Linked DNA regions of Drosophila melanogaster. The protein of the gene in region 1 purifies or fractionates together with the protein of each later gene. This does not show direct contact. Each region holds a gene or a part of one and is shown on either strand. Other genes may lie near its edges.

Region 1 (5,320 bases):
TGCAAGGCTTAAATGCGATACTTTTATGCATTTTAAATATTTCAATTAGTCGGCGCACAGAGTGCAGACGGCACTGGGAATGAGATTGAAAACTAAAAACCGAAACCGAAATGGAAATGGAAATGGAAACGAATGCCCGGCAAGCAAGCGGCTGAAATGGCAGAAAGAAAGTGCAAAAAGCGTGGGGCGCCAGTGAATGAAGTAAAAAGTGTTTACACGATCGCAAAAGCGAGGTCCGTTTGCTTAACCCCTTGCCGAGTGAATATTGGCAAATTTATGAACTTTAAGCTGCATTTATGCGTGCGGCTTATAAGCAATAAAGGTAACTTAGTGCCAACAATGTCATAAAGGCCGCTGTCACATAAACAACAACGGCAATGCCAGCAACAATGGTCAGTCCGGCGGAATCAATATATGAATTTATATGCAAAAGCCAAAAAAGCGTAGCATCGCCAAAAGCGAAAACAAAATTAATAATCACAAGAATTTCACTTTTCACGCAACGACAGCAACAGCAACAGCAGCAGCAGCAGCGGCAACAACATCATCATTGGCAACGTCTGCCTTGTCACCCACAAATAAACCGAAGCCAAACCAATCTGAGCTCAGCTATGTGAGGTTTGAATACCCTTTTTTTTAAATGTGTACAAAGATTGTTTCGGATACAAATTCCATTTAATGCATTTCAACTATTAGGTCATATTTTAGGTTTGTTTTGTTTATGCACATAACATGTAGATTTGAGAAGACTCATTTCAATTACACATTCATGTTTGTTTCGATGAAATAGGGTTAACATCATAAACTACGACTGAATATTTTTGTCTGAATATGCAATGTGATTCAACTAGACAATACATTTTAAAGGTTCAGTTTCATAAAATAATTATTAATAATAATTTGCAATAAGTTCGCTATTCGACCATTGAACTTCTCAGCACCCAAAAAATAGAATTTTTCATTTTGTAAAATATACCTAACGTACCCCTATCGAGGGTATTGAACAGCTGGCCAAGTGAAGCGCTGGGAATACAGTTGCATAAATTTATTGAAATTTGCATTTCGCTTTTCGACGTTTTTTGCGTCTGATGTTGCTGCTGCATTTTTTGCACTGCCGAGGTTTGGCCTATAAAAAATATGGCATCGATTGATCGCAACGCAAGATATTTCAATTAGCGTAAATATATTTTTGTCGTTGTTGGAAGAGGACAAACGGACGGACGGACGGACGGACGGTCAGACAGACGGATGGTAGGGGACACGCACAGCGCTCCATGAAAGAGAAATCGATGATGTTCGGAAACGGACAGACGACCCAATCGACCCAGTCGGAGATACATTTTCGTGCCGTCCGATGCGTAGATTAACTTATGGTCGTGCCGCTGTTAATAATGGCCACTGATAACGAGCCCGCGATCTATGCAAATTTCCCTACTCGTTAGCCAGAGACAAATATAGGCAGGCGCACCCGATTAGGAATAGGAGCGTGTGGGGGGTGGGTTTGTCAGCGATTTCTTCCCAGGATCGGTAGGTTTTGTTTAGATATATAAATATATACAATTGGGTACAGGTGCTGCATACAGGTTAAACTAGGGATCTTCTGGCGTAATGGTCACGTGCATCTGCTTCACACCTCGCAGGATCACTATATCTAGAGTTTTACTATTATCCGCCAGGGCATCGTAGACATCCGATGAGTTCTTGATCTCCTTCTTGTTTATGTGGGTCACTATGTCTCCGGGTTGGAGTCCACCACTAAAAAGGAGGTAGAGCAAAAAAGCACGTTGTAATGGAAAATGCTGGTTGATTGATAGGTTAACCACTTAGGTATTGACCCACCTGTGCGCCGGTGACCCAACGATAACCTTCCACACGAGCACGCCGTGCGTTAAGTTGCTGGGCATGTTTTGGCTTCGTGACTTGAGCTCGAACAGAATATCCGGTGTGAGCGTCAGCATGGTGATGCCCATGTACCGCTTCACCGGATAGCCAGTCTTGTAGGCCGAGCCCTTCTTTCGTTTCTCGGCCGCCCGCTCCAGAAACACCTTTACATAGTCAATGGGTATTGCGAAGCTAATGCCAGCCGTCACCTTCATCGAGTTAACTCCAATAGCCTCGCCATCCAGATTGACCAAGGGACCGCCGGAGTTGCCAAACGTAATCGCAGCATCCGTTTGCAGGTAGTTGATATCCCTGTTTCGAAGGCCAAGTTCTTGAGATGCACGCTGCGTTGAACTGATTACGCCTGCTGTCACCGTATTGCTTAGGGCCAGCGGACTGCCTAAGGCCACAACCCACTCGCCGGATCGCAGGGTACTGCTCTTGCCTAGCCGCATCACCGAAAGATTGTTCACCTGTAAGATTGGATTTAAAGATATGCATATAGAACTTGCGCTGCTTAGAAATTCAACTGTACGCTTACCTGTATGCGCAAAGTCGCCAGATCGGATGTCTGATCCACGTCCTCGATGGTGGCGGGAAAAGTCCTGCCATCGGATAGCCTCACCTGTACCATTGTGTGTGGTTTGTTGATCACCACATGGGCGTTGGTAAGGATGAGACCGTTCTGCTCAATAATGAAGCCGGAACCATTCGATGCCGTAATCGGTTGGCCGCTGAAGTAGTCAAAGTGGCGGGTGTCCTTAATCTCAATGTAGACCACCGAATCCGCACAACCTGCCACCACATCAGCTATAAAGTTGAAGTCCCGCCGACGACCGGTCATTTTGGAAGCGGCGATCGTTGGCGTTAAGTCTTCCCGCTGTATGATCGCCGCACTGACCACAGCGCCCAGGGAGAAGGGCACAAAGAATCGAACCAATCGTCTCCAGCCTTTTTCTTTTTGTTCACCATTTTGCTGATATTGCCCACTGTTACCATTGCTGTTTGGATCGCCTTCTTTGATCGCTAGTTGACTGCTCCTCCGATTGGCTGCATGACTGTGTAACACCGGGGAGGCAATGCAGCGTTTGAAGATCACTTCCAAGCGGTGGGAACCGCGCAAAGCCATGGGTTTATGTGATTACACGGCGTTTGTTATTGTTATTTAATTTATCACTTCTCAGCTGGCAGCTGATTTCAATTTGGCACTCTGCCACAAAAGCTGCCTGCTGCGACACCCTCGACTACCGATAGGCGATAGGCAATGCAAACAGCTGTTGGCCGCGATGCTTCTTCTTCGCATCAGGGGTGGCTAATCGTCTGCTTATCACGGGAATTTGGCTATTGTACATTTAGCTATAATTCAAAGGGCTTTTAAAATTTTAGCTGCTTTCATAGTATTGTATATAGTATTTTTAAAAGCCTGCTATTGTGCAAATGACATTTGGATCTTTTAAACCATCATCTCATGTTTAATGTTGCTAAAGACCACATTCGGAAGTATGTTTTTAGCTATTCAGCTATACGTTCCAACTAGAAACGACAGCAATACCATCAGCTGTTGCTGCTTCTTCTTCCTTCCACCAACACATTTCGCTTTGCATAACAGTTTGAATCAATTGTTTAGTTAAAATAAATCAATTAAAATGTCGAAGGCAGCGGGTAAGCTGAAATCGCTAAAGAAGACGGTGGAACGTGTGACGCACACGAGCAAACTGAAGACGAATATACCTGCGGGAATGGCTGCTGCAGGTCCGCCATTGGGACCGATGTTGGGACAGGTGAGTTAGCCGGCTTTAAAACTAAAATATGTATATAATTTTGTTTTTAACCACACACAGAGAGCGATTAATATCGCCGCTTTCTGCAAGGACTTTAATGCCAAGACCGCGGAAATGAAAGAGGGCGTACCGCTGCCGTGCAGAATTTCCGTAAACAGCGATCGCAGCTACGACTTGGCCATCCACCATCCGCCGGCCACATTTTTCCTGAAGCAAGCGGCGGGCATACAAAGGGGCACCATGACTCCTGGCAAGGAGGTTGCCGGCATGATCACTCTCAAGCATTTGTACGAGATTGCAGCTATTAAGATTCAGGACCCGCCCAATGTACTTCTTACCATGCAGGTCGGTATTCCGAAAAGTTTGAGATATAACTTCGACTCAAGTTTATGCCTTGTCTCTTAGCAAATGTGTGAGATGCTCATCAGCATTGCTCGGACCTGTGGCATCAAAGTGGTCAGGGAAATAGATCCGGCGGCCTATGGCGAGTTCCTGGAGGAGCGCAAGTTAATTGTGGAACAGCAACGGCGCGAGTTGCAGGAGAAGCGGGAAGCAAAGATGTTGCGCACGGGCTAGATTTGCTTATTTGCACTGTGCTTTTAATTGTTTAAAATACATTTATACTTAAAGCGTAAGTCTTATTCTATACCAATGCGTTTGCGGTCCTTGGCGGCGTTCTTCTTGCGTCGCTTTTCCATGTGCTTGTTGAGTTTTCCAGTGTTTTTCAGCTTCTCGAATTGGGCAACTAGTTCCTTAGCTCGACGCTCCTCTGTCGGAAAAAAAAACAAATTAAAATTTGATTTCGCTGTCGATCAGAAACGTACTCTTTGTCAGATAATGAGGTTGTTGTCCCAAATCGTGTTTCTTCTGAATGGCGGAGCGCTCCTTTTTCAGTTGCTTCTGTTTGGTGTGCCACTTCTTGTCCTCCACATTTTTATTGATAAGTCGCTGCATGGTGTCCTTTATATGGTGCTTCTCCGCCTCATCCTCCACTTCGTCCAGTTTTTTCTTCAGCTGACCAACTTCCTTTGCTCGAATCTGGGAGACAAACTGGTAGTTCTTCTTGAAGGTTTCTGCACTATATGTTCCGGATTTTTCGTCAAATCTTGGATCTCTGAGTTCAACATTTTTTTTCCGCTCCACTCTGTGCTCGGCGCCCAAAAATGGAACCTGTCGTCTGGTGGTCATTTCACGAGGTCGGTTTTTGTTTAGCCGCTTGAGGTCGGTTTTGGCCTTTGGTTTTTGGGGTCTAGAACTCTTGCTACCGAGCACAGCCTCTTTGTACACCTTGGCGCCCAGCTCCTCTTTTAGTTTCATTATCTCCTCGAATGACATTCCTTTGAGATCTTCGCGAATGGCATTCTAAAACGAAGTTCTCGCATATGTAGTAAACCATATTTCTGTATAGTTGTATTACTTGTACCTGAGTTTCGTTGTCATCGCTAGCCTCGTGCTCAGAAGCTGAAGAGGATTCACTGGGAGAGGACATTTTTGTTTTAGTTTTCGTTTAAAATTTTATTTATTTACTTTTTAAGAAATTCACGTGTGATTGTTTGGGTTATAAACAGCTGACTGCTGGGCTCGATAACGATACGTTACGATAAGCGCTGCGATACACGTTAGCCAACACTGAACTTAGTTAACCGCTTTATTTGAAT
Region 2 (4,903 bases), on another chromosome or scaffold:
TCCGCTGTAGTCTGGCTGGTAAGTCCCAAGATTATGCCCCTGGCATCGTGTCGCCAGTAGGGTGCGTACATGCCATGAAATGCCGGCACAAACGTAATCTCCGACCTCTTGGCTGCCAGTCCACACTCGGCATTCAGCATGGATGAGGAACAAGAGGACGAGATCATCGAGTTCTCGCCGATGAATGTATTCAAAGACTCCACCACATTATCATTGGAATTAATCTCAGTATTGATCTGTAGCTTATCCCGCAGCCATGTAACCGTGGAACCGGCATTTGAAATGGCTCCCTCGAGTGTGTAGTTAGTGGCCGCTTTTTCGCCCAGCTTGTGCGCTATGCCCGTTATCAGTCCGTTTGCAGAGTCCAGCTTCTCCCTGCCCGTGTTAAGGAGCACGAAACAGCTGTCGTCCAGGGTACAGACATTTTGCCCGGCCTTCACGCAGAGTTGGCCCAACAAACTTGCGGGCTGCTCACCCATCATGGCCGCTATGGGAGTGCCATGCAAAGGACCCTCCAGCACATAGCCGAAGATTTCGGAGTTGGATCGTATGCGTGGCAGTATGTTCAGGGGCAATCGAAAGAACTGGCAGAGTTTAGGATCCCACTGCTCTGTGGACACGTTCATAAGGGAAGTGTAGTGGGCATTGGTAATGTCAGTAGAGTGCACACCCATCTCAACGCCGCCGGTTAGGTTCCACAGAAGCCAGGAGTCCAAGGTGCCGAATAAGCACTTGTTCTCCTCAATGGCAGTGGCTACGGCAGGAACGTGATCCATTAGCCAACGGATCTTTAGGGCACTGAAACAGCTGCTCAGGGGCAAGCCACTGCGATACCTCACGTAGTCCACATTGTGCCGGACATTATGGAGCAGGGTCTTTAGGATGGGAGTGCTACGGCAATCTGACCATCCGATGGCATTGTGCAGTGGCTGTCCCGTCTCCAAATTCCATAACACCGAGGTGCCCCGCTGATTTACGATACCGATGGCAATAATATCACGTGGATTGATCTCTAGTATAACCAGGTTCTTATAGGCGGTCTGCAAATGTAGTCAGATTAGTTGCCGCATGATGATATAACCCGGCGATTAACAACCTCTATGCACTCCTGTGTGTTCTTCCATATCTCCGACGGATCGTACTCCATCCAGCCCGCCTGGTGGACAATCTGTCGCAGCTTCAGCTCATGGTAGGCCAGGACCTCGGCATTTTTCGTTGAGTATATCTATGAAAATAGAATCTGAGTCAGCGGCCGTTTTCGGCTTTAGGACCTTCTCACCAGAAAGCGGCAGTGGGTGCTGCTCACGCAGGCGACGCCGATGAGTGCTCCGAATCTCCCGTAACGACCGTTGGACATCTTTGGCCTGATGGGTGTCCACGGACACGTGCTTAATGGTGTTAAGGCTCGCTAGCCGAGCAAAATAAGCAAGTCGTGTTTTGTTGTTGTCGCTTTTTGGAACGCCAATTGTCTAGTGATGTAAAAATTCATTTTTTCATCGAAAATCGATGCTAGCTATCGATTTCTTAGCGAATACGCTAACCACAGGTTGGAGTACAATTCCGATCGAGAGTAATTAATCTGACCGTGGGCCTAGGTATTACAATAAATTCGACGCTTCAAATACCCTTTATTATGTAAAACTTGCAATTTACTAATTTAAAAATTGATTTAAAAGAGCTTATATTTAATATGGCTTATTATAAATGCCTGGAATAGATGTAATATCTTTGATGTTAAAGCTTTGATTTATCTATTAATTTATGAATAAAGACATTTGTCACACTTCAGGCAACTCTAAGAACACCCTGTAAGACTGGCATTTTTGGCTTTGCACAATCTGGTCACACCTATACTTTTCCGGGCCCTTCTCTCCAGAAAGCAAAATAGAAACAAATTTTCCATATTTCATGCTAAATTGGCACAGATCCGTACTACTATGCTCATGAGTCGAGCGCTTTGCCGGAGCTGGCTACCCCAGGTGGCGTAAGTAAGCAGGCGGTGACGGAGTTCCGTATCCGGAGTAACCCCACGTAAACTTACAGCCGCAGATGTCATGCTAATGTGAATGTGCCAATCCTGCGGATAAACTCTGGTCATCCGGCGGCGAGGTCATGTCGGCAGATTCACAGCAACCGAAAACAGAGCAGCAACCTGAAGCCGACGACTGGGGAGCCTGCGGCAGCGGAGCAGAACACCCCGGTGCCGGTGAACAATGTGATCAAGGCGGTGGCCTTCACGGGAGCAGTAAGATTTAATCATGACCAGCACTTGTACGGGGATCTCATATAGTCCCTGATTCACGCTTGTAGTTTACGGTCGGCTGCTTTGCGGGTGCCACCATCCTGGAGTACGAGAACACACGTAGCCTAATCCTAGAAAAGGCTCGCCAGGCGAGATTCGGTTGGTGGCAGAGTCGTTCGCTGGCGGACAGGGATTACTGGACACAGATCAAACAAGACATCCGGCGGCACTGGGACTCACTGACACCCGGCGACAAGATGTTTGCTCCTATCTTACTCTGCAATTTGGTGGCCTTCGCCATGTGGCGGGTGCCCGCTCTGAAATCCACAATGATTACCTACTTCACATCCAATCCAGCGGCGAGTAAGTGCTAAAATCCAATATGAAACCGAAAAAGTGATATCACAACGCCCAGATCTTGCGAAATTACGTACTTCTAGGCAGTATGCCAAAATGGATTTGATTGCCTTTTTAATCACAAAAAATAGAAGTATAAAGTTATCTTGGTTATGCATTTTTTGGCCATTATCGCAATGTATCAGATAAGATGCATTCAATTATTAAAATCGCCTAAAAAAATAATTAAATACATTACACGTGAAAAGTATTAGACGAATAGTAGTCGACCGGAAATCCATGTTATTTATGGTTATATAAGAAAGTGGTCGAATTTCTTCTAGTTATGTCAGCTTGTTATTTTCCATCTTTTTTATGTAAACTTTTGGTTTTACCTGAATAACAAATGTTCAAATGTTAAGTTCAAAAAGTTTTGGACTTATAAACTATTTTTTACTTTGTAGTATTTTATGATATTTGTTTTTTACAACCCCCCTAACTAATTGTGTTTGATACCCTTCTCGCAGAAGTCGTCTGCTGGCCCATGTTCCTGTCCACATTCAGCCATTACTCGGCTATGCACCTTTTCGCCAATATGTACGTGATGCACAGCTTTGCCAACGCTGCGGCTGTATCGTTGGGTAAAGAGCAATTCTTAGCGGTCTACCTCAGCGCCGGCGTCTTCTCCAGTCTGATGAGCGTGCTCTACAAGGCGGCCACGAGTCAGGCGGGGATGTCCCTGGGTGCGGTAAGACAGCCTTTATTCCACGTAGTATCTATAAACTTAAAGCTCTTCCCTTAGTCTGGAGCTATAATGACACTGCTGGCCTATGTATGCACCCAGTATCCGGACACACAACTTAGCATTCTCTTTCTACCCGCGTTGACATTCTCCGCTGGAGCTGGTATTAAAGTGCTAATGGGCATCGACTTTGCTGGCGTCGTGATGGGCTGGAAGTTCTTCGATCACGCAGCGCATTTGGGCGGCGCCATGTTTGGCATGTAAGTTTGGCGTGTATGTTTATACCATCACAGGTTGTCTTATTAATCCTACGGTAATTTACAGCTTTTGGGCCACGTATGGGGCACAGATATGGGCAAAGCGCATTGGTCTACTGAATTACTACCATGACCTGCGCCGGACGAAGCAGAAATAGTACAGGAGGCTTGGGGATTCGCCAAGTGAACGGACGGGGAGCTGAGGCAATAGAGCGGTAGCGAGTAGCACTACGCTGTGTCAATAAGAGTGACATCGTTCTGCCTTAGAAGTTCATTGAAATCAGTTAAGTTGAATAAATCGTTGACATCCTGTACTCATGTGGTTTCCCGGCTCTTTTTTGGAACTTGTGTTTGATCCTTCTGATTTCTTCGAATACGAAAAGCTACTTCGTGCCTGCGCTGCTGAATCTTCTCCCTAAGTTCCTCAAGGGATTCTCGTTCTGGAGCGTATGATATGTGCAAGATTCCACCATAGAACTGATGAGCATCGAGCATTTTCTTGGCTCTTCTCGCCACCTCAAGGCGCTCGAACTTCACGGCAAACACATCTGTAAAAGCTTCCAGATCCACTGAAACAAAAGGAACACTATATAAAAAAGATCTTGAACAGGGATAATCATACTTTTTGAAGCCATCTCTGAAGTTACCGAAATACATGATTGCACTTTACCAAATCCTTGTAGTTTCGTCCTGAGATTAGCTTGAAGATTTATTTTAGGTACCCCAAAGATCAGCAAATGACGGGACTCACTAGCAACTGTATAAACCTACAAAGGATAAAAAACACAATAAAAGTACAATAAAACATTGCTATTACTATAAAGCTATTACTAAACTATTACTACTAAACATTACTATTTCCCCACCTTGACAGCTTTCAATTCGCGGCCCTGACGGTATTTCAATCTTGTAGTGCAGTATTCCAGACGTTTGTGGTGTTCAGAAGAAGAGGCTTCCATATTCAGGATATTAAAAACAAAACTACAACTAAACGGATTTGTTTATTATTATTTTCAAGTCCACGATTAAACGTACTTATCGATAAATATCAACAGCCAGCTGTTATGTTATTGTACTGTTATTTACATGATTCGCTGTAATGGAATTCATTCAAAGTTGTTGAATTGAGTATGTTAGCACCTGTTGCATTTCCAAATAATTCGAGATTTCCAAAAAAAAAATTAATTTTAAGTCAATGTCCTTGGAAAAAAATTTTAACTTTGTTTCACCTTGATTTTTTATCTAATTGTAGCAAGAGGACCAAATTTTTTCACTCAAAACTAATTAAGTGGCGTTTCATCAGCTGTTTTCTGGATTAGTCTAGGG

What was found.
Region 2: the proteins of HtrA2 (region 1) and rho-7 purify together in Drosophila melanogaster (affinity purification with western blotting, with the first as the bait; one study listed by BioGRID). This does not show direct contact.

What each region holds. Positions count from the first base shown.
Region 1 is NT_033777.3:14,508,397-14,513,716, forward strand, and holds HtrA2 (HTRA2-related serine protease), read right to left. Parts: upstream 3,317-5,320; 5' UTR 3,011-3,316; coding exon 2,423-3,010; intron 2,355-2,422; coding exon 1,840-2,354; intron 1,756-1,839; coding exon 1,590-1,755; 3' UTR 653-1,589; downstream 1-652. Other genes in the region: mRpL11 (mitochondrial ribosomal protein L11), read left to right, coding at 3,528-3,662, 3,723-4,007, 4,068-4,238; CG8461 (uncharacterized protein), read right to left, coding at 4,301-4,431, 4,487-5,024, 5,086-5,151.
Region 2 is NT_033778.4:11,985,704-11,990,606, reverse strand, and holds rho-7 (rhomboid-7), read left to right. Parts: upstream 1-1,819; 5' UTR 1,820-1,937; coding exon 1,938-1,984; intron 1,985-2,043; coding exon 2,044-2,245; intron 2,246-2,310; coding exon 2,311-2,605; intron 2,606-2,953; exon of another isoform or gene 2,954-3,105; coding exon 3,106-3,326; exon of another isoform or gene 3,327-3,380; coding exon 3,381-3,580; exon of another isoform or gene 3,581-3,644; coding exon 3,645-3,735; 3' UTR 3,736-3,892; downstream 3,893-4,903. Other genes in the region: CG8298 (uncharacterized protein), read right to left, coding at 1-1,040, 1,097-1,225, 1,280-1,357; CG34231 (uncharacterized protein), read right to left, coding at 3,893-4,146, 4,200-4,344, 4,444-4,536.